Linked DNA regions of Mytilus edulis. The protein of the gene in region 3 purifies or fractionates together with the protein of the main gene of each other region. This does not show direct contact. Links are inferred from orthologs where the notes say so. Each region holds a gene or a part of one and is shown on either strand. Other genes may lie near its edges.

Evidence for each region.
Region 1: the proteins of clusterin-associated protein 1-like (region 3) and intraflagellar transport protein 57 homolog purify together in Homo sapiens (affinity purification with mass spectrometry; 4 studies listed by BioGRID and IntAct, counting the BioPlex papers as one, with this or other methods). This does not show direct contact. The link is inferred for Mytilus edulis from reciprocal best matches to the Homo sapiens genes CLUAP1 and IFT57.
Region 2: the proteins of clusterin-associated protein 1-like (region 3) and intraflagellar transport protein 27 homolog purify together in Homo sapiens (affinity purification with mass spectrometry; 3 studies listed by BioGRID and IntAct, with this or other methods). This does not show direct contact. The link is inferred for Mytilus edulis from reciprocal best matches to the Homo sapiens genes CLUAP1 and IFT27.
Region 4: the proteins of clusterin-associated protein 1-like (region 3) and intraflagellar transport protein 46 homolog purify together in Homo sapiens (affinity purification with mass spectrometry; 3 studies listed by BioGRID and IntAct, with this or other methods). This does not show direct contact. The link is inferred for Mytilus edulis from reciprocal best matches to the Homo sapiens genes CLUAP1 and IFT46.

Annotation. Positions count from the first base shown.
Region 1 is NC_092348.1:50,745,448-50,752,612, forward strand, and holds the start of intraflagellar transport protein 57 homolog, read right to left. Parts: upstream 3,002-7,165; 5' UTR 2,732-3,001; intron 387-2,731; 5' UTR 383-386; coding exon 222-382; intron 1-221. Other genes in the region: tetratricopeptide repeat protein 12-like, read left to right, coding at 3,295-3,364. UniProt on the Homo sapiens protein: Required for the formation of cilia. Plays an indirect role in sonic hedgehog signaling, cilia being required for all activity of the hedgehog pathway.
Region 2 is NC_092352.1:29,288,540-29,295,435, forward strand, and holds the start of intraflagellar transport protein 27 homolog, read right to left. Parts: upstream 3,029-6,896; 5' UTR 2,912-3,028; coding exon 2,875-2,911; intron 508-2,874; coding exon 428-507; intron 1-427. UniProt on the Homo sapiens protein: Small GTPase-like component of the intraflagellar transport (IFT) complex B that promotes the exit of the BBSome complex from cilia via its interaction with ARL6. Not involved in entry of the BBSome complex into cilium. Prevents aggregation of GTP-free ARL6.
Region 3 is NC_092352.1:6,024,709-6,031,752, reverse strand, and holds the start of clusterin-associated protein 1-like, read right to left. Parts: upstream 3,003-7,044; 5' UTR 2,895-3,002; coding exon 2,873-2,894; intron 1-2,872. UniProt on the Homo sapiens protein: Required for cilia biogenesis. Appears to function within the multiple intraflagellar transport complex B (IFT-B). Key regulator of hedgehog signaling.
Region 4 is NC_092348.1:89,657,121-89,664,900, forward strand, and holds the start of intraflagellar transport protein 46 homolog, read right to left. Parts: upstream 3,028-7,780; 5' UTR 2,955-3,027; coding exon 2,922-2,954; exon of another isoform or gene 2,891-2,921; intron 578-2,890; coding exon 472-577; intron 43-471; coding exon 10-42; intron 1-9. UniProt on the Homo sapiens protein: Forms part of a complex involved in intraflagellar transport (IFT), the bi-directional movement of particles required for the assembly, maintenance and functioning of primary cilia. May play a role in chondrocyte maturation and skeletogenesis.

The DNA.
Region 1 (7,165 bases), on a different chromosome or scaffold from region 3:
TTAATAATTTTGACCATGTTTGAAATATGTAGATCTTGTCTTGCTGATCATTTTTGTTGAACATTTGTTATTTCTCTTTGTTTTAAAATTTTCAAAACTGATAAAAATTTGGTTAACTTATACATGTAATGGTCATTATAGTGGATCTCATTCTGCAATTCAATCTTGTTACATATATTTTTAGAACATAAACTCAAATTGCATTATTATGAATATTTTACCTTGATATTGGTTTAAGGTTTCTTTCTCTACAAAAATTTTGTTCATAATCCAATAGTCTTAATTTATCAAGAAGATCTTCCATTATAACAAAAGGCATATAAACTAAGCCTGGTCCTCCATCTTCCACATCTTCTCCACGTCTCTTTTCCTCTGCTGACATTTAGCTATAAATAAACAAACTGTAATATATAATTATTATTTACAACATCATATATAACTACGTATAAATAAACTACCGAACTTTATTTGGAGTTTGATTAATGAAGCTATATATATGCTAATTAAAGCAATAACTACATATATGAAGTTTTAAATTACATTACATGTACTAAGCATTTATAATCATGCATGTACATGTATAGTACTTCTGAAGATCGTCATCTCAGAGACAAAAATAAAATCTTGTTAATAGCCATTTATGATCATGATGATAAAAAAATATAAGATTTTAAAAGAATGATGAATTATTAAACTTAGACGTATTGTTCTAAAGAACACCCCAGTTGCGTAAAATGGTTTACATATCAAACAAGATGGCAGCTACTGAAAATTCAACGAACAAATACTTCAAAGTTCAAAGATCAATATTTAAAAAACAATCTGAGAAATCTTTTGAAAAACAGCATTTTGCAATGACAAAATGTATAAAATTTCATAAAAATGATTTTTTGTTAAACATGAACATATGAAGAACATTTCGTAAATTTGAAATGATTTGCTATAAAGTCATGTGAGATCAGTCTGATAATTTGGGAAGCAGGTAAACTCGTACCACCGAAAGCTCGTTCCACGTTAACTCGTACCAAAAAAGTTAACTTGTACCAAAAAAGTTAACTTGTACCAAAAAAGTTAACTCGTACCACTGGGAAGTCTTACCATTCAGAACTCGTACCATTAAAAATATATTAAAAAAAAATATAAATGTTCTATGTTTTTTTTTTGTAAACTTAATAAAAATAAAGTTGAATTACTTGAATTTATACTGGAATTTAATGAAAACTTAGATAAAAATAGCAAATGTTTTTTTAATCTTTTTTTTGTTTTTTAAACTGAGCTTTCAAACTAGTTTTAATCCATAAAAAAAGTAAAAACATTGCTTTAACTGTACCTTAAGTTGAATATCTATATCCAAATTAAATCGCTACGGTTCCTGAGTTTTCAATGACCAAAACTACGAGGTGTTTTTTGCTGTAGCACATGTCAAATTAATCACTGTCATGCAAACGCCTCGTGCAAATAAATTTCGGCCAGAGAATCCCGGGAAAAAAATAAATTCAGTAGTGAAAGTGTTAAAGCTGTAATCCATGATCACAAAGTGAATGCTATGTTTACAATTGTTGAAAGCCATGTGCTTTTTTGGCAGGAAAATTCGGGAACCCCTCAACAGGAAACAGCTATAGTTCATTGTTATTTATCATGTTTATAGACAGTAAGAATTTGCGTCAGCAAGCGACAAGAAGCGACAACAAGAAATTTTTTAGCGACAACAAAAGACAAGAAACTATTTAGCGACAAGAAAACATTTTTTTTTAATTAAAATTAATTATTGCAATAAATATTAAAAGAATATGCAAAAGAAAATAATTTTAGCGACAAGAAAGTTAAAATTGATAGAAAAAAATGAAACATTATTCACATAATATTTTATCATCTATTATGAATAACAGCCAGTATTACGTTTAATTATTGTATTATGAGATTACTTTTCCTTGTGTTTTAGAACATATTATTTATCTTATAATTTATTTTTTCAAACTCTTTTCGTGCAATATATATTAAGCTCACAAAATGAATTATTTGTGCATCATTGTCCTGAAAATATTGACACAAAAAAATAAAAAAAAGAAGCTCAATCTCTTTCTTCTTCACAAATGTTAAATTTCTTCATCTACCAATACACTTATATAAACTTCACAATCTCTTTCTTCCTCACAAATGTTTCATTTCTTTGTCTATCTATATAATAAAACATTTTAATTAGACATATCTGCTCGTATAATTTAAAAAAAAACATTAAATACAAATTTCTTTATATCTAATAAAAAAAAATGTTTTCTTGTCGCTAAATAGTCTTCTTGTCGATTGTTGTCGCTAAAATAATTCTTGTTGTCGCTTCTTGTCGCTTTTTGATGCTTGTCACTTCTTGACGCTTGTTGTCGCTTCTTGACGCTTGTTGTCGCTAATTAATGAGACCCAAAGTAAAGTATATATTCATTATTAAACACCATTCATTCAATTGCATTTAAATAAGTTGGTACGAGTTAGCAGTGGTACGAGTTTGCATTGGTACAAGTTTTTCTTTAGTGGTACGAGTTGACGTTGGTACGAGTTTACAATGGTACGGGATAACTATAATTCGATAATTTGTATAGACATCGTTATAAGTGACCAGTCCCGTTAGTATAAAAAGTCCCTGTAGAGTGGATCAATTTATCAACACTTGATACTTTAAGCAAAATTAAAAGATGTTTCCTAAGGAATAATGTTATAATAATTTCAGGTGACAAACCTGATATACAAATTATGACTGTCAGTCAACCAGTCAGTGTCAAATGTATCACTTGATCAAGAAACCGTACTGTATCCGGTATAAAGTCGTCTGTTCTTTATGTTAAAAGCTAAGAATCGAAAAATGAAAGAGCTTGCGAGATTAATTTCTTTGTGATTTGTTTCCTTTTCTTCAATAACCGCTCAAAAGTTCTTCACCGATTTTTTTCTCTGTCGAGTGTTGTTGTTACCAAAACTATTTATTCTACGTACAACGAAAGCTTTGAATCACATTTAATAAAACGATATTTAAAACACTTATACCACCTCGGCTGATTTTCATTCGTGTATCTTGGCCTTTACCGATCATTATCGAAAAAACAAACGAATTCCACTTGCATTTTATTACGAAGTCCTGCGCCAGCCCGAAAAAACCCAACACAAAACAAGCGTTGATAGATTAAACCACTTGTACTAAAAGATCAATCTAGACTTTCAAGGAAGACATGTACATGTATTAGAAAATAGCGAATGAAGCATTCGTCTTTCAATAATCTATGGTTGTTAATATAAACAAATTCAAAAATGGCGACGAATGATGGTATTGGCACACAGAAAGAAATTGATGATTTTTTAAGCAAGGTTGATGAAATAGGTAAGTGATTGCTTTTTGGTTTAATTTGAAATCTTACCTTATTCAAGGATTTATTAAGGTAGCACAATACAAAGATTTCATATATATCTCCAATTCCCCAGTTTTAAAATGCTGCAACTTTCTTTATAATGCTTGAAAATTTATAAAAGTTTTATCTATGGATAGCTAACAGATTACTCTCTCGAATTAATGCATTGATAGTATTATACAACAATTATTTAATCAATTATAATGTGTCTACAAAATTCTACAAGAAATTTCCACTTTCAATTAAAATTAGCTTGTTCATTGATCCCCCTAGAGGATTGATTTTATCATATGTTTTTTCCAAGAGTCATTATCAACAAAAGGGTGTCTCAGATTTTGGATAGAATGTATAGATCAAATTTTACACCTAATCATACATTATTTACTTTGATGTGGTGAGGATGTTTACACTACATTGTGTAATTACAAATTTATGAGAGAAAGGAATACCATAGTCGATAGCAATAATTTGAGACGCCCTTTTGTAGCTCCTGCTGTGTTGATTAAGATAACGTTAAAATTTCTTGTGTTGCTGTAGAGATGAAAGAGCTAAATTCATTCAAGTAAACTGACAAAAATTTTGCCACTAATTGCAGTGATCGGGAAGGACGTGCGCTCTGCGCCTATAGCGCATATTGACCAGAAATGGCACATAGAGTGACAAATGTAAGCGCCCACGTATTTTTCACATCGTTTCGAAACTTTTAGATATCGTCAAATGGATTTCCGATCGTGTTCCGTGCCGCCATGTGTGTGTACACAACTGTATAATGTTCCTCCAATCATAGGAGCACCTATATATTTTTGGGACGTCTCGGGTGTTTTCCTATGGTAATAGAACCATGCGGTTTAACGTCTCGGGTGTTTTCCTATGGTAATAATAGAACCATGCGGTCTAACTGATGACCCAAAAAACGTAATTAACCATCATTCATGATATAATTTTTTATAAACAACTTTAAATTTGTGAAATTTGGCTATTACAGACGAGATTCAACTCTAATAATAATCTTTAATTTAGTTTAAATTGCTATTATTTTGATTGAAAACCCCCGAAGTCTTTTTATGAATATAGTTTTTGTCTCCATAAAAGGCGCTTAACTGTCCTTGTCATTTTTTGGTCTTTGGCTCGTTTGACATTTTGTTAACATGACTTCAGCGAACTATTGTTTTGTTCTATCAATTAATAGTACTCTCTACTGTTAATCTTGTCATCGTGATGAAGTAATAATAATAATACAAGAAGTGCAGAGGAAGTGCCTGAAATGTCCTTTAATACGGAACGCCTGGAATAAGTATGGTATCGACGAAGACCCAAATTTAATGTTAAAAAAACACTAACCATGAACATGAATAAGCCAAGGCAACAGTACCATTTAAACATTGTAAATACAGGTTATCTTTAATATTGTCCGTTTTGGAAGAAGTTATTGTATATTCATTGAAATTACAGAATCACAGGAACAATATCCATGATATTATTTAAAATCATATAGGTAAGTACCAACACCTCTTTGCCAACAAATAGTGATACTTTTTATACGACCGCAAAATTTGAAAAAATTTTCGTCGTATATTGCTATCACGTTGGCGTCGTCGTCGTCGTCCGAATACTTTTAGTTTTCGCACTCTAACTTTAGTAAAAGTGAATGGAAATCTATGAAATTTTAACACAAGGTTTATGACCACAAAAGGAAGGTTGGTATTGATTTTGGGAGTTTTGGTCCCAACATTTTAGGAATTAGGGGCCAAAAAGGGCCCAAATAAGCATTTTCTTGGTTTTCGCACTATAACTTTAGTTAAAGTTAATAGAAATCTATGAAATTTTGACACAAGGTTTATGACCACAAAAGAACGGTTGGGATTGATTTTGGGAGTTTTGGTTTCAACAGTTTAGGAATTAAGGGCCAAAAAAGGGCCCAAATAAGCATTATTCTTGGTTTTCGCACAATAACTTTAGTTTAAGTAAATAGAAATCAATGAAATTTAAACAAAATGTTAATGACTACAAAAGGAAGGTTGGTATTGATTTTGGGAGTTTAGGTCCCAACAGTTTAGGAATTAGGGGCCAAAAAGGGACCCAAATAAGCATTTTTCTTGGTTTTCCCACCATAACGTTAGTATAAGTAAATAGAAATCTATGAAATTTAGACACAAGGTTTATGACCATAAAAGGAAGGTTGGTATTGATTTTGGGAGTTTTGGTCCCAACAGAATAAGGGGCCCAAAGGGTCCAAAATTAAACTTTGTTTGATTTCATCAAAATTGAATAATTGGGGTTCTTTGATATGCCGAATCTAACTGTCATGACTGTGTATGTAAATTCTTAACTTTTGGTCCCGTTTTCAAATTGGTCTACATTAAGGTCCAAAGGGTCCAAAATTAAACTTAGTTTGATTTTGACAAAAAATGAATCAGTTAGGTTCTTTGATATGCTGAATCTAAAAATGTACTTAGATTCTTGATTATTGGCCCAGTTTTCAAGTTGGTCCAAATCGGGGTCCAAAATTAAACTTTGTTTGATTTCATCAAAAATTGAATAAATGGGGTTCTTTGATATACCAAATCTAACTGTGTATGTAGATTCTTCATTTTTGGTCCTGTTTTCAAATTGGTCTACACTAAAGTCCAAAGGGTCCAAAATTAAACTTAGTCTGATTTTAACAAAAATTGAAATCTTGGGGTTCTTTGATATTCTGAATCCAAAAATGTACTTAGATTTTTTATTATGGGCCCAGTTTTCAAGTTGGTCCAAATCTGATCTAAAATTATTATATTAAGTATTGTGCAATAGCAAGTCTTTTCAATTGCACAATATTGCGCAATGGCAAGAAATATCTAATTGCACAATATTGTGAAATAGCAAATTATTTTTAATTAGAGTTATCTTTCTTTGTCCAGAATAGTAAGCAAGAAATATCTAATTGCAAAATATTGTGCAATAGCAAGATTTTTTTTTAATTGGGGTTATCTTTCTTTGTCCAGAATCAACTTAAATCTTTGTTATATACAATATACAATGTATATTCACTTTTTACTACCAACTGATAAATTAAAATAATCTTTACCATTCAGTGATAACAAGCAGTTTTTTTTTTACATCTTAATATTTTATGATGTATTTAAATGAGTAGTTATTGTTGCAAACTGCATTAGAAATTTTAATTGAGATTAGTTTTGGAATAAGGGAAAGGGGGATGTGATTAAAAAAATTGGGTTCAATTTTTCTCATTTGAAATTTCATAAATAAATAAAGAAAATTTCTTCAAACATTTTTTTGAGAGGATTAATATTCAACAGCATAGTGAATTGATCTAAGAGAAAACAAAAATTTTAAGTTCATTAGAACACATTCATTCTGTGTCAGAAACCTATGCTGTGTCAACTGTTTAATCACAATCCAAATTTAGAGCTGAATCCAGCTTGAATGTTGTGTCCATACTTGCCCCAACCGTTCAGGGTTCAACCTCTGCGGTCGTATAAAGCTACGCCCTGCGGAGCATCTGGTTATTTTTGTACAGAAGTAGCTAGTCAATTCAAATGGCCCACTCATTGGACAACATGGCCCATTATTTTTTAAAATGGCCCATTGAATTTATTTTTGAGGGGCCCTTGGCCCATAGTGAAAAAAACCTTCCAGATCACTGCTAATTGCATAATAATTGATTTTGTTTCTATATATCTATACATGTACATGTATGTTTTATTTTTTTTACTTTTTCACTTTTTTCTTTATTTTCCTGCCAATTGATCTTTATTATATTCGACCTAAAC
Region 2 (6,896 bases), about 23 Mb from region 3:
CTTTTCATACCACATTTGTAAATTTATGCTTATTGATAATTTGGTGATTTTCTTTGTCTTAAACAAGATAAATAATATACATGTATCATTTTTAATTATCCATATACATGTATGTATACTGTCATGACTGTAGTGTACAAAGGATTGGTATGGAAATATGGTCACCTCAACTTCTATTCAGCAGTGAAAATTTGCAAAGGTGACAAGCAAATGTTCTATTTCAATTCCATGACTATGTACAAAACAAGATATTATTTAACCCTGTAATGTTTGAAATTTCGGTAAAACTACTAAATAACAGATTTTCTAATTAATTTGCTACAACTGAAGTGATGTGTATGGATTAATGTGTTTATATTTTGGATAATGCATGAAATTTTAAATTAATTTACTGGATAAGTTCCAGCCTAACAAATTATAAACTTACTACTGTATAATTCTTAGGAAAGTGTGATCCATCGCTGTGAAAAACTTGGCAAATGGAGCTCTTTCCTACAGAAGAATCACCTGAAAAAAAGTATGTGTATGAGATATTTGTCAAATTGATAAATATTTAAAACTTGTGCTCAGTTTCATCTATGTACTATTTATATACTAGTTACAAGTTAACTATCTAAATGAACGAATCCAAAGGATGAGTTTGTTTAACAAGAGGCTCTAAAGAGCCTGTGTCGCTCACCTTGGTTTATGTGCATATTAAACAAGGGACACAGATGGATTCATGGCAAAATTGTGTTTTGGTGTTGGTGATGTGTTTGTAGATCTTACTTTACTGAACAATCTTGCTGCTTACAATTATCTTTATCGATAATGAAATTAGCCCAGAATGTAACAGTGGAAAATATTTTGTAAAATAAATTACAAAAATTTACAAATATTTATGAAAATTGTAAAAAATTGACTATAAAGGGCAATAACTCCTTATGAGGTCAATTGACCACTTTTGTCATGTTGACTTATTTGTAGCTCTAACTTTGCTGTATACTATTGCTGTTACAGTTTATCTCTATCTATAATCATGATAATGATATTTAAAATAATAACCAAAAGCTTCAAAATTTTCTGAAAAATTACCAATTCAGGGGCAGCAACCCAATAACAAGTTGCCCGATTGGTGCGAAAATATCAGGGCCGATAGATCTTAACCTCATAAACAATTTTATCCACACCATCTTTGCTCTAAATGCTTTGGTTTCAGAGATATGAGCCAAAAACTGCATTTTACCCTTTGTAGCCATGTCGCCCATCTTGGTTGGTTTTAAAGACAAACATTATGGTTGAACATACGATTACATAAATGTAAGAATACTGAATAAAATATATGGTCTACTTGTTGTTTAAATAAAGGTTCCATATTTAAAGCAAAACAATATGAAAGTCTGCTCATTTGAAATCCTAAGTGTAGACTGCCCGAACCTGGTAAGTGACGTCATACTTATAGTTCCTAGGGATGAGCCCAGCAAGGCCAGATGTCGGGCACGTACAAGAAGCAGGAAGTCCCAACAAGAATAATTACATGACTAGTCTCAGGAGAAAGAGAAACGGAACTTTAAGTAATACTAATATTAATTTTCCCAAATAAATAAAATAAACAAGTAAACAAAGTGACTACCATTACACTTACAAGACATCATAATTATTCTGTCTAAAACAAAAGTCAGACTATGATCAAACGACAACGGCCGCATTGGTATCCTACCGTAGTCTAAAGTCGTTCATCTTGTCAGTTCGTTAGGTATTTGTGTTTGAACTTAACACACAGGGAAACACCGCATTGACGTCACTATGCTACTTCCGGCGTAGAAAAACAGTGCAGAATACGTTTTTTCTGCCTTTTGAATAAAAAAAACATTTCTTAGGTAAGTTTTCATTGTTGTTCTCAATTATTGCAAAAAAATGCCAATTTTCTAATGCCAGTTTCAATCCCGACTTCCGAATGTCTAAAAACATTCTAGAACTTCACAAAATCCCACTTCCGGCCTCCATTGCTTTGTGTACATTCCATTCAGCGTCATCAATCTTGTGGCAGGCAATACAGGTCAAGCAAATCGTATTTTTAGGAATTTTAAAATGACATGCTCCTTACGTCTATCACAATTTTCCCGCGAAAAAATCCCAATCAAAATGAAAGGAAAACTACACGAAAAAAACGATGTCCATGCCATAATTTTGTACAGGAATATAGAGTTGGTTAATAAAAAACAATTTACATTTATTTTTCATAAAATTTTCTTTTTATTCATTATAAAAAGATGGATATTCTGACCATCATAGCTGTAGGTAAATATTCATTCAAAATTCCCTTGATGTCAAAAGAGATGGCAAAAAAAGAGATTTCCTGTTAAATAAAACCTTAAATTATTGCAAACTATTTTGAAGCAATATCCCACAAAGAAATAACGTAATTGCCGTAGACTGAAAAATCCCCTAATTGACAGTAGAGCAATTTGATTGGGTATAACGAATTGACATCACATGATTTTGATGCCATTGAAATTTGAATGTAAACAAACAAGGTCAGAAGGTTCAGTATGGGACAGCATCGTACATTTAGTTACTGACAAACAATTATGAGTTACCAAGCTTGACAATGCATGGTAATAAAAAATGAAAGCTAAGTCTACAGAAAAAATAAGAACAAAATAGCCTTAGAATAACGACTTATCAACACACCTGGATACAGTCCATCAAACATGTCGAAAGCATGTAGACCATTATGCATACTTAGTCAGTAAATCTTCATGGACATCATGACATGATCAGGTACATGTACATGACATATGACATGTAGAATATATATCTTTAAAAGTAAAATAAGGGCATTGTTGTATTGAAATTATACTTTTTTGCATAAATGGTGGACTCTCAACTTACCAACGATAATACATTTTGCTCTTAAACAAGTTGGCATGCTGTATTTTGATGGTAATGTTGTTATCAAAATACTAATAGTTCAATGTTTTGGTAAATGGCAAGGAATGTACGAATAGTTTGTATTGGACTTTTTGATTGGATCATTCGTCCTCAGTTGACCAATCACAAAGCTTGTTCTTCAAAAGCACTTGTTCACTTAACCGGAAATCAACATCAAAATACTCGCTGCTGGATAACTCGGACTAAAACAAAGTCGGACTATAACAAAATCGGACTATAACTAACTCGGACTATAACAAACTCGGCCTACCATTATTCATATGCAGAAATATATTGAACCAACTCGGACTACGATTAGAAGATTGTTTTTTTTTTTACTGTAATAAAAAAAAATCTTATAATATATTAAAATTATATACAAATTTATGAGATTATAATGAATATTTATGAAAAAAAAAGATCGTATATAAAAATGATTAATATTTGTTACATCAGTTGAATTAGATATGTTTAAATGAGGGTAATTAACTTATACTTGAAATATTATTGTGATTTATGATGTTTATTGACAAAAGAAATTTTAATGATTGGCGTGTGTTCGTGTTTTTATTGTGTTTAATCCTTGGTGTTTATGATTAGTAAATAAACAAAGACAAATTTGATTGACAGTGAATGGCTTCTTAACAATTTCACTAATCTGTAATGGATTCAGCAATTGAAAAGCAATTATATTCAAATGGTCACATCAAACAGATACAATGTTTTTAGAAAGGCAAGCCGAGGCAAACATTTATTATACATGTATCCAAAAATAGATTTGGAGTAAAATTGAAAAAAACAACAGAGATTTCTTTGATCTTACCAAATACTTCTATAAAATAACATGATAAAAAAATCCATTATCATTTTCAACATGGGTACCGACCACTGCGTCGACAAGGCCGTAACTACCCTTGAGGCAAGTGAAGCAATTGCCTCACTAAAATTTCGACACTGATCTTTTTTTTTTTATACATATATATAAATATAATAGTTATTTGTTGTTCTGTCTCAACCTTAATTTCTATAACTTGTCATCATTCCTTTTAAACTATTCTTCCTTGATATAACTCAGCATCTCAACGGGTGATGTTTCTCAATTACATTAACCTAGTAACAATAATCATCATGGATCTTTAGTTATAACAGGCTCTTGCAGAAAAAGGAAAAGCGACACTGAAGGTAAAGAAGGAATAATTCTAGTAAACTAGTGTTTTTGTGAACAGAGTCTAAGTATTGCATATAACTTCATTAGAACAATAAAAAAACGATAAGTAGACTGACAAATAAAGTACTGGTCTTCGGAAGGGGGCAGTCCTGTCTGCGAATTCATTTCTCCGTTTCACCAACTTTTGACAAATCAAGTACTGGGCATCGCAAGGGGGCAGTCCTGTCTGCGTATTCATTTCACGAACTTTAAACTTTCTCTTTACAGATAAATGAAATATAAATAATATGAAACATGAATGCATGGATTAGTTTTTATCCATGTTTCTTTAACCTTGAAAATTGAAAGAATATCCCATATTCCAATTTGATATTATTGAGGAATGATAGAACCTTAAACACAGGATTTTGTCTTTACTTATTCTGGACAAAAGACCAAAATGACAAAAACATTAACAACTATAGGTCTGGAATATCTTTCAGACCAGCATCAGGACCAATAATGATGTTGAAGGTATGTATTTTCTATTTTTATTTAACATAAGAATTTCATTTTCGTATCAAACTAATGGTATTATTATAGTGTAAAGAATATTATGAAATTAATATCTATGTAATCACATGACGTTACCAACAAGGATTACTGCAATATAAATTATATAGATATAGGAGGTTATGGTACGATTGCCAATGAGAGAACCCCAAGCAAGTCACAATTTATAGAGGTTAAACAATATAGTTATATATATATTAATAATAAATCATGTTGGTTTTTTTTGCTGTGATGAGGCAAATAGCTTATATATGTATGACAATACATCATTTCTTATAATTCAATTCTATTTAAGGTTGGCACACAAGAATCAACTCTGACATCGGGAAAGCTAATGCCGCCTTCTACATCTTAGTACCAGCACTTCATCGTGAAGCCAAGCTTGTGTCTCTTACAGTCCACTTAGTTTCTGAAGAACAGGTCCTCAGGAACCAACGCACACGCTACAAGGAGCTGGAAGGTCGTCTTCATCAGCTATGGGACCAGTACACAGAAGGTGATATCACAGCATCCCGTCTACTTCGTGATTGTGGCAACATCTACGGTCCGTCCAATGACTAGCTGTTAATTGCTCCTGCCGATGTTTATACTCGTCTTGCCTTGACAATAACATTCATTTTTGCATGTTATCTCAGATATGACTCAGAATTCTGTATGTGCTATGTATGTTTTGTATGTGCTATGTGTGTTTTAAATGTGCTATGTATGCTTTAAGTGTGCTTTGACAATGAACATTTATATCTGCATGCTTTCAGTCTTATAGATAATGACAAAATACCTTTGACTTTAAAATGTGCTTGTGTTTTATATATGCCTCATATTTTTCGTAAGAAATATTAGAGATTATTGAATGACGAAATCATTGTTATGTTTTAATTGTTTGTTGACATGAACATCTACTGAAATAAAATTTGTAAACCCTAGTTTTCTTTATTCTTAAAAATAGTATTACATTGTACAGATAAATCACACCAAGAGACCACCATACAAAATATGATCAGAAACCAGAAATGCTACAATTCACTGAATTGTCTTACAATAATTAACATAAGATTTGTAATAATAACAAAACAAAATTGAAGTCCGGTTATAGCAAATACAAGACAAGACACATTTAATTGGATATTTAGTTCCCAATTTCGTGTAATAACAGGTACTTGGGTGATTAGATAGGTGTCAACAGTACATGTGCCAGTTGTTTGTTTAACCTATGGTGATTAAAAAGGTGAAACTACAAAAATGTATTTATTGACTTCGATATTCCCAAAGCACAAAGAGTAATGAATGCTAATTTGAGGAACATAGTCCGCACGATTGGTCAAGACAAACTAGAAATACGAGGCTCCAGAATTCAAGTGAAACATTATGAAGGACAGGCTAGTGGAATGCGGAACTTTGACAATAGGGAGAAACGGAACAATTTCAACCGTATTGACCAGGGAGAGTACGAAAATAACAGTAGAAATAGACATCAGTATAATGTACCCAGTGATTTTCAGCAACGAAGCGGTAGTGAGTCACGACGAAATATATATCCCGATAGCCGCAGGCGTATAAAACAACATTAGTGGAAATGCGGGTTCTGGAATGTAAGAGGCTGGAACACAGATAGTGGCTCTGTCAATTTTTATTTGCGAGTTTCCTGCTTGGAACTTACAAACATAGACATATTAGGGGTCGCCGAGACTCATTTGGCTGGAGAGAGCAAATTATCAGTAACAGGATATACGTGGTTTGGTCAAAACAGAAAGCGGCTTCATGTTCGAGCAAGAACAGGCTCTGGTGGAATCGGATTCCTTGTGCGAAATGAAATAATGAAAAATTTTCATGTTGTAATATGCGATGATTCGTTTGAAGGAATACTGTGGATAAAACTACAAGATAAATTAAATAAAGCTGATGTGCTTTACTCATGTGTTTGTTATCTACCACCAATAAATTCTACCAGAACATGCGATGCAAATGAGTACTTTGATATGCTCATCAGCCAGATTCACATATACGGCAAGGACGCTTTTTTCTACATATGTGGTGATTTTAATGGTAGATGTTCTGAAATGGAGGATTTTATTCCCGGTATCGATATACTCCCGGAACGGAAAGTTTTGGATTTCACCGCTAATGCATATGGGGAAAATTTGTGCGATTTCTGCATCAATGCAAACTGTTGCATCTTGAATGGACGAAATTCTAAAAAGGATAACTTTACCTATGTATCTACTCAGGGTTCATCAGTGGTAGATTATTGTCTAGTACCGTATGA
Region 3 (7,044 bases):
TGGAAACAATGATTCCTTCTGATTTTAGTGCCAATATACCGATTTTAATATCATGAATAGTTTTGCCGTAATTATCTGATTTCCAATTTAAAGTCAAAATTCCAATTGCTGATTGGCTGTCTGAGAAAATTTTGATGGATTCAGTGTTTTTTCTGTTGTTTGGAATTATAAGAAAATCTATTACCAGCTTGATAGCTACTAATTCACCTAATAAAATAGATCCTCTATTGGAAACTGGCTGTGTTAACTCCACATGTTCTGTGCTGTTTGATATTAAAATAGCTGCCCCAGCCCCGCATGGACCTGGGTTTCCTTTGCAGGAGCCATCAGTGAAAGCTAATGTTGTATTCTTTTTAAGTTGCTGTATTTTTTTCAAAATGATAGTCTTTCCCTGAAATGCTTGTTCCTCTGATCTAGTCTTTGAACTTCCGAGATTTTTCCAATACTCTGGTGGTGATTTTGAGGCTGCTAACCCTCGGAATTCAAATTGAGACTCTATATAATCAGAATCAATATCTGTTGACCTCTTCATGTCTTCAGACTGTAATACCATTTTTCCAATTGGTGAGATTATCTTTTCAGGTTCATTTATATTTTTCCAATCTTCAAAAATTTGTTTAATAGGGATAGTGATTTTATATGATTTTATTTTTGCAATTTGTCTTATACCAGCTTCTTCTCTTTTGAGGTCCAGTGGTACTATTCCTGCTACTACTTCCAAGGCTTCTATACTAGCTGTTGCTGGTTGGTTGAGACATAAGGCTAATCCTTTTCTCTGAATAGCATTTAATTTATCTATATGCGTGTTGTTGTTGATTTGCCATACACTGCTAGCATATAACATTGTAGACAGCACTATACTTTGATATATCTGTATTAAAATTTTTGTAGATACCTTTGCTATTCCCTTGATGTTTCTGATTATCCCTAAAGATTTTTGTGCTTTTTGCTCAACAGTGTCTATGTGTTTATTGAAATTACATTTTTCATCTAAAGTAAGGCCTAAAATTTTGGGGTTAGGATTATATTTTAATTCCTTTCCTTGTAACATTATCTTGATGTTCTCCTTTGTCATACCATTTCTGGAAAATACACAAAATTCTGTTTTTTCTATACTGAGGTTTATTCTCCATTTTGTTGACCATTCATGGATAGAGTTGATATCTTTTTGTAACTCCTTCACTAATTCATCTTTGTCTTTGCCTGTTTTCCAGATTGTCCCATCATCAGCAAATTTACATTTGTTAGAGGAAATTTTAGCAAAAATATCAATAATAAAGATGTTGAAAAGTAAGGGGGATATTACTGATCCTTGTGGAAGCCCAATTTGAGTTTTAAACCATTGTCCCTGATGCTTGTTTATATTACATCTTGCTTCTCTGTTTTGTAAAAAATTCTCTATCCATTTCCAGATTTTACCTTTAATTCCATATCCATGTAGTTTTGTTAAAAGTCCTTCTCTCCAAACACTATCATAGGCTTTTTCTAGGTCAATCATTAATGCAATAGTACTTTCATCTTTATTAAATCCATTAAAGATGTTTTGAACAAATGATAATAAAGCATTGTCGGTGGAGCGGAAATGTCGAAAACCTTCTTGTTCTTTATCTAATATAAATTTTGACTCTACATAACCTTCTAACCTTGATGTTACTATTCTTTCCATTAGTTTACCTAGTATGCTTGTTAAGCTAATTGGACGATATGATGAGGGATTATTGTAGTTTGGTTTACCAATTTTTTTGATGAACTTGACATTTGCTTGTTTCCATGATTTTGGTAAGGAACCCTCATCCCATGATTTATTCATTATATATAATAAAGTGCTATACAGATTATCATCTCCATTAATAAATAGTAATGAAAAGTAATTATCAGGTCCTGGACAAGTTTCATTTTTTAGTCTGTAAACTGCACCAGCCAGCTCATCTTGTTCTATGGCAAAGTTGATATTAATATCCTTGTCATCCTCTAAGTGTTGTTCTTCATCATTTGAGATTGAATGATATTTGTCCATTATTTCTTTATAAAATTTTGCATTAAAGGAACTGGGATTTAAGTGTTTTCCCTTGAAGAAAGTTGTTTCTAGTTCTTCACATTTTATTTCTTCTTTAAATGTTACGTTTCCATTTCCATCAACAAATGGAAGTACCATGTTATTATTTTGCTTCTTTGTCATTTTTCTAAATACACTCCATTTGTCCTTGACATTAGCTGCTTTTGAAAGCTTTTCTGCTAAGTTGTTTCCCCATTCCTCTTGGGCCAAATCCTTTACTTTGTTGAAATTAATTTCTGCTTGTTTAAGATTTTCAAAATTATTCGGAGTACTTTTAACTTTAAATTTACGTTGTGCTTGATTAAGGCTTTTTTTACTATCTTTTACGGCGTCATCCCACCAAACTGGGTGCCTATGAGCAAAGAACTTTTTTTTCTCAATTTTTGGAATTGACTCTTCCATGCATTCCATAATTTCCTTTTCAAATCTGTTATACAATTCTTGTACCTTTTCCTCTCTATTAAATATAAAATTTTCGAATCTCTCCTTTGTTGATTCTTTCCATTTTTTCCAATCTGCTTTTTTCAAGTTCCAGGTTTCCTCCATTTCTTCTATTTCAACATTTTCTTCACTTTGTATGTTTAAGTATACAGCAATATGGTCAGATTGTACAGTTTCATGAGTAAGAGTAATGCAGTCTGAGACAGAATTGTATATTTCTTGCGAGACAAGTGCTATGTCAATTATGTCTAACACTTATGTCTAATTTATGATGAAAAAAAATAGCTCGTAAAAAAATCCTGTGAGCACAGATGTTATTTTACTAGTTATACAATATTGGAGTTTAGTTAATTGACAATACAGTAATGAATATACTTCTTAAATCTCTGTAAGACATATTGCTGGACTGTATATGTTCTGAACTTGAATTTCTGTTCTGTTGCGAGGAAAGCCAAAGAATTTGGACATGCGCAGTAATAATATCCGGCGAAACATTTTTGTTAACTCCTGTCTAGTTTTGCTAAATCTGTTATCAAAATAAATTTTATAACTCCCTTTCATCCTCTAAACAATTTTCGTATTCTATACACATTCAATTTAATTTTTACTGTCTTAGATACTGTAAAATATCACAAAATACGAATTAAGTTAAGAGTTATTGCCCTTATTAGAACTCTCGTGATAAAACTGGTGTCAAAAAAACACTGCTTTTTCAACGTAAAAAGTATGCATGTAGAACCAGTGCGTTTTGGTTGGAAATTTGGAAATCACAGATAACACAGTCATAGTATTAAAGACTTAAGAGTAAAGTTAATTCCTCTGTTATTAATTGACGTAAAACTAAGATTTTTACAACTTTTATTTACAGAGTTGCATGACATGAAACTGTTTATTTGCTTCCCTAACAACAATAACACTAAATAATTGTTAGATAGATAAGATCATAAGATGACATCAACTGGATGATATACATAAATATACAGGAGTCTTCTAAGCTCAGTTTCTTTCGTCAAGTCTACAAAATGGGTCAAAGACCATCATATTTTGATTCACTAAACAATTTAAATGATAGAGCAGCAATATGCAAAATACACATAAGTGCACATCCTTTAATTATACACCTCATCGCTATTTGTCCGCCATTACTGGATATTACACAGGTTCCCGTAAAAATTTGACGTCACAAAACAAAATATCTGACGCCACAATGGAAAAGTGATTGATGTATGCGTCAAAAGTTCAAGCGGCCGGTTCAGCCGGGATTAGCGATAAGGTGTATTGAAAGGGGAAGACATCTTAATATTCCTAGAGAGGAAAGATACTGTCCTGTCTCTGGGGAAATTGAGAATGAACAACATTTCTTATTAAAATGTAATAGATTTACCTCAAACCGAGAAATATTAGAAAATAAAAATAAATGTTTTATTTCAAATACAGCGTAACATTACCGTTGATGAAAAAATATCTCTATTGGTTAATAATAGCTCAGCATTATAACTTAAACTGTCTTCCTCTTTCATATCAGAGTGTCTATTATAAGAAATAGTGAACTTATATGATACATCAATATGTAACTTTTCTTTATAGCATGATATGTTATCATGGAACCTTTCATTCTACCATGTCAATTATTATAGTATTATGTAATGCCATAGGTCTTAACCATTTATTTAATGAGTTTGTGCCAATAAAAATATTATTTTGTATTTGTATATATTAAAAAGAAGATTTGGTATGATTGCCAATGAGACAACTCTTCACATGAGACCAAATGACACATAAATTAACAACTATAGGTCACTGTATGGCCTTCAACAATGAGCAAAGCCCTTACCGCATAGTTAGCTATAAAAGGCCCCAAAATGACAATGTAAAACAATTCAAACAAGAAAACTAACTGCCTTATTTATTTAGAAAAATGAACGAAAAACAAATATGTAACACATAAACAAAATGAGCCTATTTACTTTAGCACCATCTAATAATACTAAAGGTCACTTATTAGAACTTATTAATTAAACAGTGTAAGACGACACACAGACTAAATACTTTTTCAATTCGAGTTGTGGATCAGTGGAATAACCTGTCAGATTTAACTGAGACGGCAAAGACTTTGAATAATTTTAAGTCTGCATTAAATGGTGAAAATTGGAACCCATATAAATTCATATGTTTAATTTGTGTTAAGTGTTCAGCTGCGAACACCTAAATAAGTTTTTTTTTAAATAAGTCTAATATATATAAATATATTATTATTATGAGACAAGAAATCGCATTACGACAATTCAAGATGAGGACCTGAAGATAAAGGTGTAAAGGTAGTTTAAGGTACTAAGTCATGTAAGTAACAGTGAAATATGCAGTCAGACTCTGAATATAAAGATAACTCACCCCATTGTCATTGCTTTAGCCTTTGGTGACCTAAACTTCACCCTTCAATAGAATCCAGATCATCTAGCCCAATCCTTTTTGCACCAAAAGTTATCAGTGATTTGCCTGGAAAAAAAAAAAGATTTAATATTTAAGCTAATGATATTTTACTATAAGCTTTATAATATGCTATATTTTATATAGGTTTTTGAATGTTTTATGTATGTCAATAAATGTATACACTATGATGTATATATTAAAGTGTATTAGAATGTTTTATTTTATATAAGTGGTGATGCTTCAATAAGATATTGAAAATGTTAATAGTTTTCATTGATAACAAGACAAGTGAAGAATAAAGAGTCTATATGACAGTTGCTTGTTTTACACAAACGGCATAATGATTGAGAAAATAACATCTTTTTCAGTATTTTATCTTTTTTTTGTAGGACATTGTGATGCTAGAAAGAATAAAATGTTTGCAAATTACAGATCCTGTTTAATGGTAAGTAGATATCCACAGATTTAGATTAATATATATGCACTTTTTATGTATTTATAGGATAATAGCTAAAGGTGTTTAGAACAGGCTATTATTTGAACTTGGAATTATTTTTAATTATGGAATTTGAATAATTTCTTGTGTTTAAATTTTTTAATGAATTCCATGTTTATTTGCAATGATTTGGTGTTATGATCTTTTGAGTGGTTAATAAAACTTTCCATACAATGTGTTTTGGTTAGATAGTGTTGTGCGCGGCACAGTACATTCTATTGAAAATATACTATTTTCTTTGTAATAGAAAGTGTTGCGCGCAGCACAGAACATTTCAGTACAGAATAAGCATGGAATTTATTATAAATTTCAATAACAAGAAATCAAGCAAATTCCATAATTAAAAATAATTCCAAGTTCAATTAATAGCCTGTTTTAGGTAATTAATGTATTTGTCTGCATCTGTCACTACTTGGGTTTAGTACACATTCTTGAGTAAGCCTTTCTGACTGATAAATAGATGAGTGATCTCTGAGGTTTTTTAGAAATGCAAAAAAAAAGGAGCAGCCAAAGCATAGGGACCTTTATTTATGTTATGTTCTGGGTATTCAAAAATGTCTTAGTGTAAATTTATAAGAAGATCAATATTTAACTATTATATTTTTTCTGCAAATTTGATTTAAACAGTATTTGTAATAACCACTTAATTTCATTTTTTTTTTACTGAAATTGGTACAGAAGGTACAGGATCAACAAATTTGTTTTTGAATAAATTGTAGTATATTCTTGTATGGTCTGTAAAACAATAAGTACTCGATTATATTTGTAAACATAAATTAAAAATGTTAAGAAAGTCTGAGTTATTGCCCCTTAGTCTTAGTTGATATGACTATAGCAATATAAGGTATGACTGGAAGAAATTTCATGCATTGCTTTTTGCAACGAATAGATAAGATTTAGCAAATGTGAATGTAGCACTTCTCCTCATAAAAACTTCTGCTGAATGATATAAATATGAGTTTGTTTAATATGAAAAGTTATGCCCTCAATAATTAAGGAAATCTTCAGAACATATTTGTTTATTTTGTTACTACCAAACAAAGTAAAAATTGTGTTTAAAAATGAATCATGATTTTGAATTAGTGCAGGTTATTTGCACTTTTAGGTGGTACATAACACTACAGGGAGATAACTCTGTAAAAACAGATGAACTTTTTAATCACATTCTATAGTAAAGGAAATATTAAGCTTTTCAATGATGAAAATTAGTTTTTGACAAACTGCTATATATATATTTAATGAAATTTTTTCCAAAATGTGTGCAGTTTTTGAAATTTAATTTTTTTCAAAGGGTCAAAGTAAATATTTTGTCAAAATTTTATGAAAATTAAACAAGCCTAATTAATTTTAGTCAAAGTGTTTGAAAACTGAGATATTGTTGAATATTTACCAAAAAACTTGAAATATTTTTCTCTTTCATTGTAACTTGTATACAATTTATATCTTGCTTTATCAATGAATAATCAAGAAATTTAAAGATAATTCCAGTCTCTGTTTTCTCATCCAAGTGTGATGTTAAAGGAGCCATAAAATCTGTCAGGAATTTTACCTGAAATGTAAATTGCCAATTGTTCATCACTGCTACCAGTGCGCTAGGTTGCGACTTCTTGACTTCTTAACT
Region 4 (7,780 bases), on a different chromosome or scaffold from region 3:
TGTACATACCAGGCATGCCAGGGATTCCTAGTAGTTTACCTCCTTTGATAGCATTAGAGAGAGAATGTTCAAAATATCAAAAATATACAATAATATACAGAAATATACAGAATATATACTGCAAATTCAGAAGTTATCGTGAAGTTTTAATTGTTGCGAAAAATGTGACAGAGTTGTAAACGTAATAATTTAAACTTGCATTTTGAACTATTTCATAATATGAATGAAACAGATTTTCCTGAAAAAAAATCTTAAAAAATTAAAATTGCATTTATGTCTAAAATGACAAAATTGCAATACTAAATGCATGCAATAATTTCTGAATTTACAGAAGTTGGAAACCTTCAAATATCTAGTAGCAAACATTTGTAAACCTCTATGTGAAAATGATAAGAGAATGGATGTACATGTATGCTGTTTCATAGACATTATATGTCATTATCTATTAAATGTTTTTAAAAGAGATCATACCAGAAGGGTGGTGTACTCGTGGAGTTGGTGAGTATGTGCTTGCAACTTCTTCACCGTCAGGAACCTCCAATGCCTCGTCGTATGGTTGATTCTGAAAATGTTTGGCCTGAAAATCAAAAAATATATAAATTCTAGTTTCGAACATTAAAATATTTGTGACAGCTGTGTGATTGGTCCAAACCGACAATCATTTTAATTTAATAGATTAGATAACTTAAACATTATGTATGACCAACCAAGAGACATATCAAATAAGGCAGCAACATTACAAACTATTGAAATGTTTAACTAAGTATCGACTGGAACTTCTCTTATGTGTGGCCTGCAAAGTACATTGTAATTGGGTACAATATAGTACCATCAAGAAGTCTGTCAGAACTCAGTGTCACATTTGTACTTCTTTTCTTTGCCATACTGTTTAAGTATGTAATATACCAAGCTGTGAATATTGTCCTCCTACAACTGAAGCACTGTTTTACATTTGGATGATACAGGATTTTTAAATACATGTCTACACAATAACTGGATATACCCCCCCCCCCCTTTTTATCTACAATGTTTTGGTACATGTATTTTAATAATGATAACACAGTGACAAGATGTACATGTATATTCATAAACCAAGAATATCTGTCTTTTTCATTAGCTAGGGGTTCCAGTACCTACCTGACCTAAGGGTAAGGCTTCAGTGTAGGCATGCATAGCAAGGAGTACGTAAGTTTAATTAAAGGTAGCATAGGGTTTGTATTAGGGTTAGCACTAGGTTAGTTTCGAACTTCCGTTTGAGACTTGTTTTTGAACATTAGGCCAAATAAAATAGTATATGTGGTTCCAGTTACATCTCGTCATCTGAAAAAAAGTTAGGATAGGTAGGTAGGGATTTTTTTTAATTTTATGTTGGTTTTTTTTACATTGAGCCTATGGGCAGATGGGAGCATCATTCTGACTTTAACAGTGCTTAATAAAATATGACAATAAAATCTTTAGGGTAGGCTAATTTCAAGACAAAAAAGTAGGGAAGGTAGGGTTACTGGAACCACACATATATTTTTATTTGGCCCTTGTAGAAGTTTGTTATACCAAACCTAATGTTCATCCTACATAGTATTGTTGATAATTTCATCCTGATGTTATAGGCTCTAGCATAGTGATCCATCACTGCACTTTTGACAATTCAGTGCTGATATGAATATGCATTAAAGCAAGGACATTGAGTCTCTCACTTGTAATGGTTGATCGCAAAAAAAGTCTTGTGCTCTTAATAAGACTGTTTGGTAGTATTCTGTTTTTTTCGTGAGATTTGCTTTCACCATTTGAATACTTTTACCCATTACTGAAAATGTTTCTTATCAAAATGTTTAAGGTTGTCAGGTAGTGGCGAACAAAACACAAATTTTGCAGTAAATTCCTTCTGGTAAACATGGTAAAGTTGAATAAACAGCCACACATATTTGAAGCATCATTTCTTGTTTAGGAAAAGAAAAGGAACTAGCTAGATTCAAGTGTTTATTTAAAATGCTATACATTTGAGCAATAGGTACAGATGTGAAAATGAAGTTTGCAATATCCTTAGATTTAGCAGGTGTCTCTCAGTCTGACAGCAGTACGTTGCAGAATTAAAAACAAAATAATAAAAAAATTCTTATGGATATAATAGAGTGTGAAAGTATTTTTATTCAAATCAAGCTAACAGAAAAGATCGTTTTGATTATAATAAACCAACAAAGTAATAAAATATAGGGAGAGCTGCCTTTGATAGTCCTAATTAAATCCTTTGATCCTCTAATAATATCCCCCAGGCAAATGTAATTATGGCGTGTTTTTATTTAACTGAGTGTAGCTGTGAGCCAAAATTTGTTCCTGTTCCTATTAAGAGCTCACTGGATATTCAATATTTAGTAAAGATAACCATATGCATAAAACAAGAAATGCTGAAGTGATTGCATGCTGTCTTTTTACAAATTTATTTTTAAAGATTTTCAAGTGGGGGAGAGGGGTCCAGAACACCCTAAATCTGTTAGTGAAAAGATATTACAGGGAGAGAAAAAAACAGGGGTAACAGACTCTGCTCGAGCAGACACAGGGCGAAATGTACCTCAGAAATCATCATGAATTTGTCAAATGAATGAAAATTGTATGAACATGATGAATGCGAGACCTTGAATATATGAATTGCAATATCAAATATGGGAAAACGAGATGACGCTGTTGGCAATTCATTGAAATAAGTGGATATGGTTCGCTGCTGACAATATCATGATATGAGAATGATATAAATTTGATAAAGCGCAAGATGTTTACATTAGCAACATATGATTTCTTTCAATAAAAACATGTAATTATGTGCTGAAATCTATCAGAAGGTAGAGGAAATGTTATAAACATCTAAAGCATATATATTGCTTTAATATAATCTCACTAATATTTGGAAAATAGCTCAATTATTTTACGTTTTCACGCTCTTCGTCGTAGTCGTCCTCCATCGAGTTTGGAATGCAAGTGCATTATGGGATCGTCTGGTCTGGTCTAGCTAACAACCAAATGAGTAATCTAAATAAAGACCAAAATATGAACCTTTCAGAAAAGTTTCTTTTTAATTAGATTAATTAATTACGACTTGGGTATCCCTAGTAGACAATAGACAATACTTTATTAATAAACCTCATAGGTGTGTAAGAGGACATCAGATATACACGTATACACATTTTTATACTCAATACATTCACACTAAACATAATAATGCTAACGTTACATACATGGTTAAATATAGCAAAATGTCAAATTACAAACTACCATAACATTCAACTCAAAAAGACTAACAGAAATCTCAAGTATATCAATCATTAGAGAAACAGATTCCACCACTGTAATTTAATTGTCTCGAGTGAAGAAATATTGTAATACACTTGTTGCAGTTGTGGCATCTATATTTCTAAGACTCTTCCATCTTGCAATAGTATTTTTAAAAAAAAGACTTTTTTTCTACAAATTACACAAGTATTCCCCATTCTAACCTAAAAGTCAAATCGAAAGAGTTGGTAATATTTTGTTTAAAAAAAACGGAATGCCATATTATGGTCAACGTAATAGATACAAGTATCTTGTCTTTGTAATAGTACGGTGACAATTAAGGTAAATTTAAAAATTTAATGCACCGAAATACCTCACGGCTAATTTTGGTCTTATTTTGAAGATAAATATAATACCCTTCTATTAAGGCATGTCGTAGAATGCCAAAGTGGTGCAGATTTTTGATAATTACGATTAAAGGTAAAAAGGGGGGATTTTAAAAAATCTACATTTTTGGACATTTTGGACAATTTCTCGGTATTCGCTCATGATAACTGAGAAAAATTTCAATGGAAGCAAGCTCTAGGGGGGCTGTACAAATGCAGCTTCTAATATTTATGCCAGATTGACATAGATTAGTGATGTTCACCACCCAAGCCAACATGGAAGAAAATGATAAAGATTATCTTTATTTACAAAAATTATCGATAAAAAATTTTTATATTTAATATTCAGCTTTTCAATAATATATTACAATATATAAAGATATTTTTGGGAAAGTTTTGTTAAGATAATATAAAGAATAAAGGAGAAGTTAGAACTGTAAAGTTTACACCCGGTCCATGATTCAATGAAAAAATGATCAAATTCATTATTCCCTTTTTAAATAAAAAAATAATGTTGAAATTATCAAAATAGTCTTGATGCATAAATGTCAGCATGAACACGATAGTATATGAAGTTTTATTGATGACAATAGGTCAACCAGTGCAAGAGTAATATCATTTTGAAAATGCATGACGATGTGCATCCCCCTTTTTTAAAAAACAACTCAAACAACAAAAAATCAAGAGTAGACTTTTGACTTTTACCGTTTTAAAGCACTATATATATCACACAAACACGATTTACAGAAATTTTGATACAAATGAAGATATTTTTGTATATTTCAATAACACTTGACATTATTATGCACGTCCGATGATTTGAAGTGGTTACGAAAAACTAACACAAAAAAGTACATGTTATACTTTTAAATTATTCGATAAAGTCTCCTGTTGGTTTACAAGCCTACCAACCACGTCAAGGTCGGAGACCACTGGCAGGTTTTTTTTATAGTTTTTTTTAATTTATTTATTTTTCTATTTTTTTTTTTAATTTTATTTTCTCAACAATTTTCAACAGCGAAAAGGCTTCTAGCATCTAACACATGAAATATTGGGCATTGGGGTTCATACTAATCATCATCCGCGTCGTTGCAATCTTCTAAAACAGTCTGATGAGTAAGCTGGTTTCTACAATCATCACTGCCCTGACAACCACAAATGCTTGTGCATGACAAGTGTTGTTCATAACATACACATGATTTACCACAAATAGATTTGCCTTTGCATGTGCAAACAAGGTCTTGTAAAAAGTCAGAAGACATTGGCCCCTCAAAATATAGTGGAACTATCGAGCTATTCCCCATTGTCCATCCATATTCAAGAGGTGATCTAGGTGGTGGTTTTGCAATATGGGCATTCATCCAGACGTACACTTGTAGGGATACTCTAAATATGTGTTGTCTGAAAGATGCTTTTGAAGGAGGAAGTCTCACTAAGGAAGCATCCTTAGATAGCGCTGACTTCACTCGCAGTTTATTTAGATCACCATGTACAGATTGAGCCTTGACTTTGGGGTCATATAGATCAGCGATAAATTGTCTTCCCACTGTTACAGATGTTTTGATATCAGAACTAGCTAGATTGATCAAACTTTGATATCTTAATGGGTGTTGTTTTAATGTCTTGTATACTGTCTTTTTGCCTATTCCAAAGAAAGAAGACGTCGTGTCGCATCCCGTTAGAGCGTGATTAGCTGGTAATGTACTAGAAACCACTGGTCCAATGGCATTGTATATATCGTGTACAGGTATAAACCGTCGGGCGTCTTTGGTTGAAGAAACGCATCCTGTCTGGAACCACAATTCATCAATGTTTGTCATTTTGGGAAAATACCTTATACACAGAAGTAAAACATCAGTGTCCGATGATTTTATTACAATGCGACCTCTGGAATTGCTTTTTATTAGCTGTTCATTAGCAAACAGAGACTGTAGAATGATTCTTGTATCTGCCTCTTCCTGTGTACTGAACAACTGAATACAATCAGTAACAGTTCCGGCATAAATTTGTTTAACAGTCTCTGGGTTTTGAAAACATCCAGCTAAGAATAGTTCGTCTTGCTCATTCAAATCGAATTCATTGAAGTGTGCGAGCGCATAGTCACCCAAAAATCTTAATAATGCTTGTTTATTTTCCGATGCACATAGAAATTTCTTCCAATCTGTAATTGACCTACCTTCAATGACCTGAAAAATCTTACCACCATTTGAAATAGACCGCCTCATTCTTTCTGCTGATTTTGTAGAATGTTCTACGTCATACCGATCAAACACGTCTACGACACACCCGAAATTTTCAAAACTTGCTATTAAAGTTCTAAAGTAGTCCTTGGCCAAATCTCCAAAACTGTTGTACCTTTTTACAAAAAGACTTTGAACAATACCCATGCCATCTCTGATAAGGATTGATCGATTCTTATCATACGGTGGAAGTGTGAAAGAGGTGCACACCTCTTTTTCCAATAGATGAATGAAATCTGCTTTGCATGATTTCCTCATCAACCCATCGTCATGGAAAATGGATGTTGGTATTCTACCGATGGGGTAAGCCAAAACCTTTTCAACGGTAACTTCGTCTCGGACATTTGCAAGGGCTAAAGCTCTTCGAAAGACAAGCTCGGGATTAATATGAGTTTTTACAATATCGCCAGATCGACATTTTAGATTGCATGGCTTTGCCATGTCGTCAAAGGTTTTGAGTGCAGATTTAGAAATTGGGGAAAAGAAGTCGCGAGTTTCGTTGTCTTTGAAACAACCATCTACAAAAGATTTCATCGATTTTTGTCCTCGATCTACAGAATTCAGCAGCGAATCTTCAACTTCTCTACTGGCATGCAAACCTGTTGCAATGTTTATTAGCGATTTGGGACATTCTTCAATGTCGAATATCTGTCATATTATTTTGAACATGCTCAATAAGATCCTTCACTTGCTGCTCATCGCGTTTCATCGCTGTCGGTCTACTCTCTTCGTAATTTTCGTCAGAGCCAATAGCAATTTCAGACCTTTTCCTCATTTCAGAAGCGTACCTTGCAAGAATGTGCCTAGTAAAAGTCCAACGAAGAAGAGCAGATTTATGTGTAGTTAATCCGACTATACCGCCGTTTCCCTTCGAATCTTTGATTATAGTCTTCTCTGTTGCCATATCACTCCATATGCCATTGAAAACACCAGGCTTTTGTCTGACTGCAAACTTTCCGGACATGAAAGCTGAATAAGTTTCTTCTGGGAGATTCAGCATGTCAATTAAATAAGTTGGTGTCCACCTAGCATAATTTGTCTTGTTTGCAATGAAGAAATATGGCAACATAGAAGACACGGATTGGAGGTGTAAAGTCCAATCTCCATCACGTTCTGCTTTGACATTCATTAGCATAACTTCAACGGCTCGTAAAAACATTTCCCAAAATTTAAAAGTTGGAGATGCTCTATAAGAAAACTCTCTGAACTCCGAAATCAACGGGGATAACTGTTCCCGGAAAAGAATTAAAAATTCAGAGAGATCTAATACCTTTGTATTAAGGTCACTGAATGCATTATGACAAGAAAGCATTGTTTGCCAGAACTTTTCGTCTATGTTAGCAATTTTTCGTTGGTTTGAACACCATTGAAAAAATTTCTTGAACCATAGTGCCATCACAGTTTCATATGCTAATGTGTAAGCTCTAACACCGCGATTAAACTGCTTGCCTTGAAGAATCTGATCTACAGTACATCCTGCATATGCACCCGAATCGACCAATAAATCCCGAAGCCCAGCTAATGCCCATATTTTGCCTATTGCTGAAAGGTAACACGAAACCATGTGAAACCCACCTAATCTAACAACGTGTGGGTGAAAAATCTGAGGCATAGGCCACTTTACTTGTTGAGCTATGGCATAAAGCTGTTGGTCGAAGGTCTGTACTGGGTTATTCTGACCTGCGGCCTTTGACATTTCTAGGCATTTCACCATTGTCGTATACACTGTCGCCATGTCAGCAGGTTTTGCGTCTATGATTGGAGGATATGCAACGACGACATGAATGTTTTTTCGGTCGGAAAGTCTTTTATGGAAGCCTGTCCAAAAAGGTATTATTTGTTTTTTATCATTTTGAAACCAAGGTAGTTCAGCAATGTCGCGTGTAAGTGATC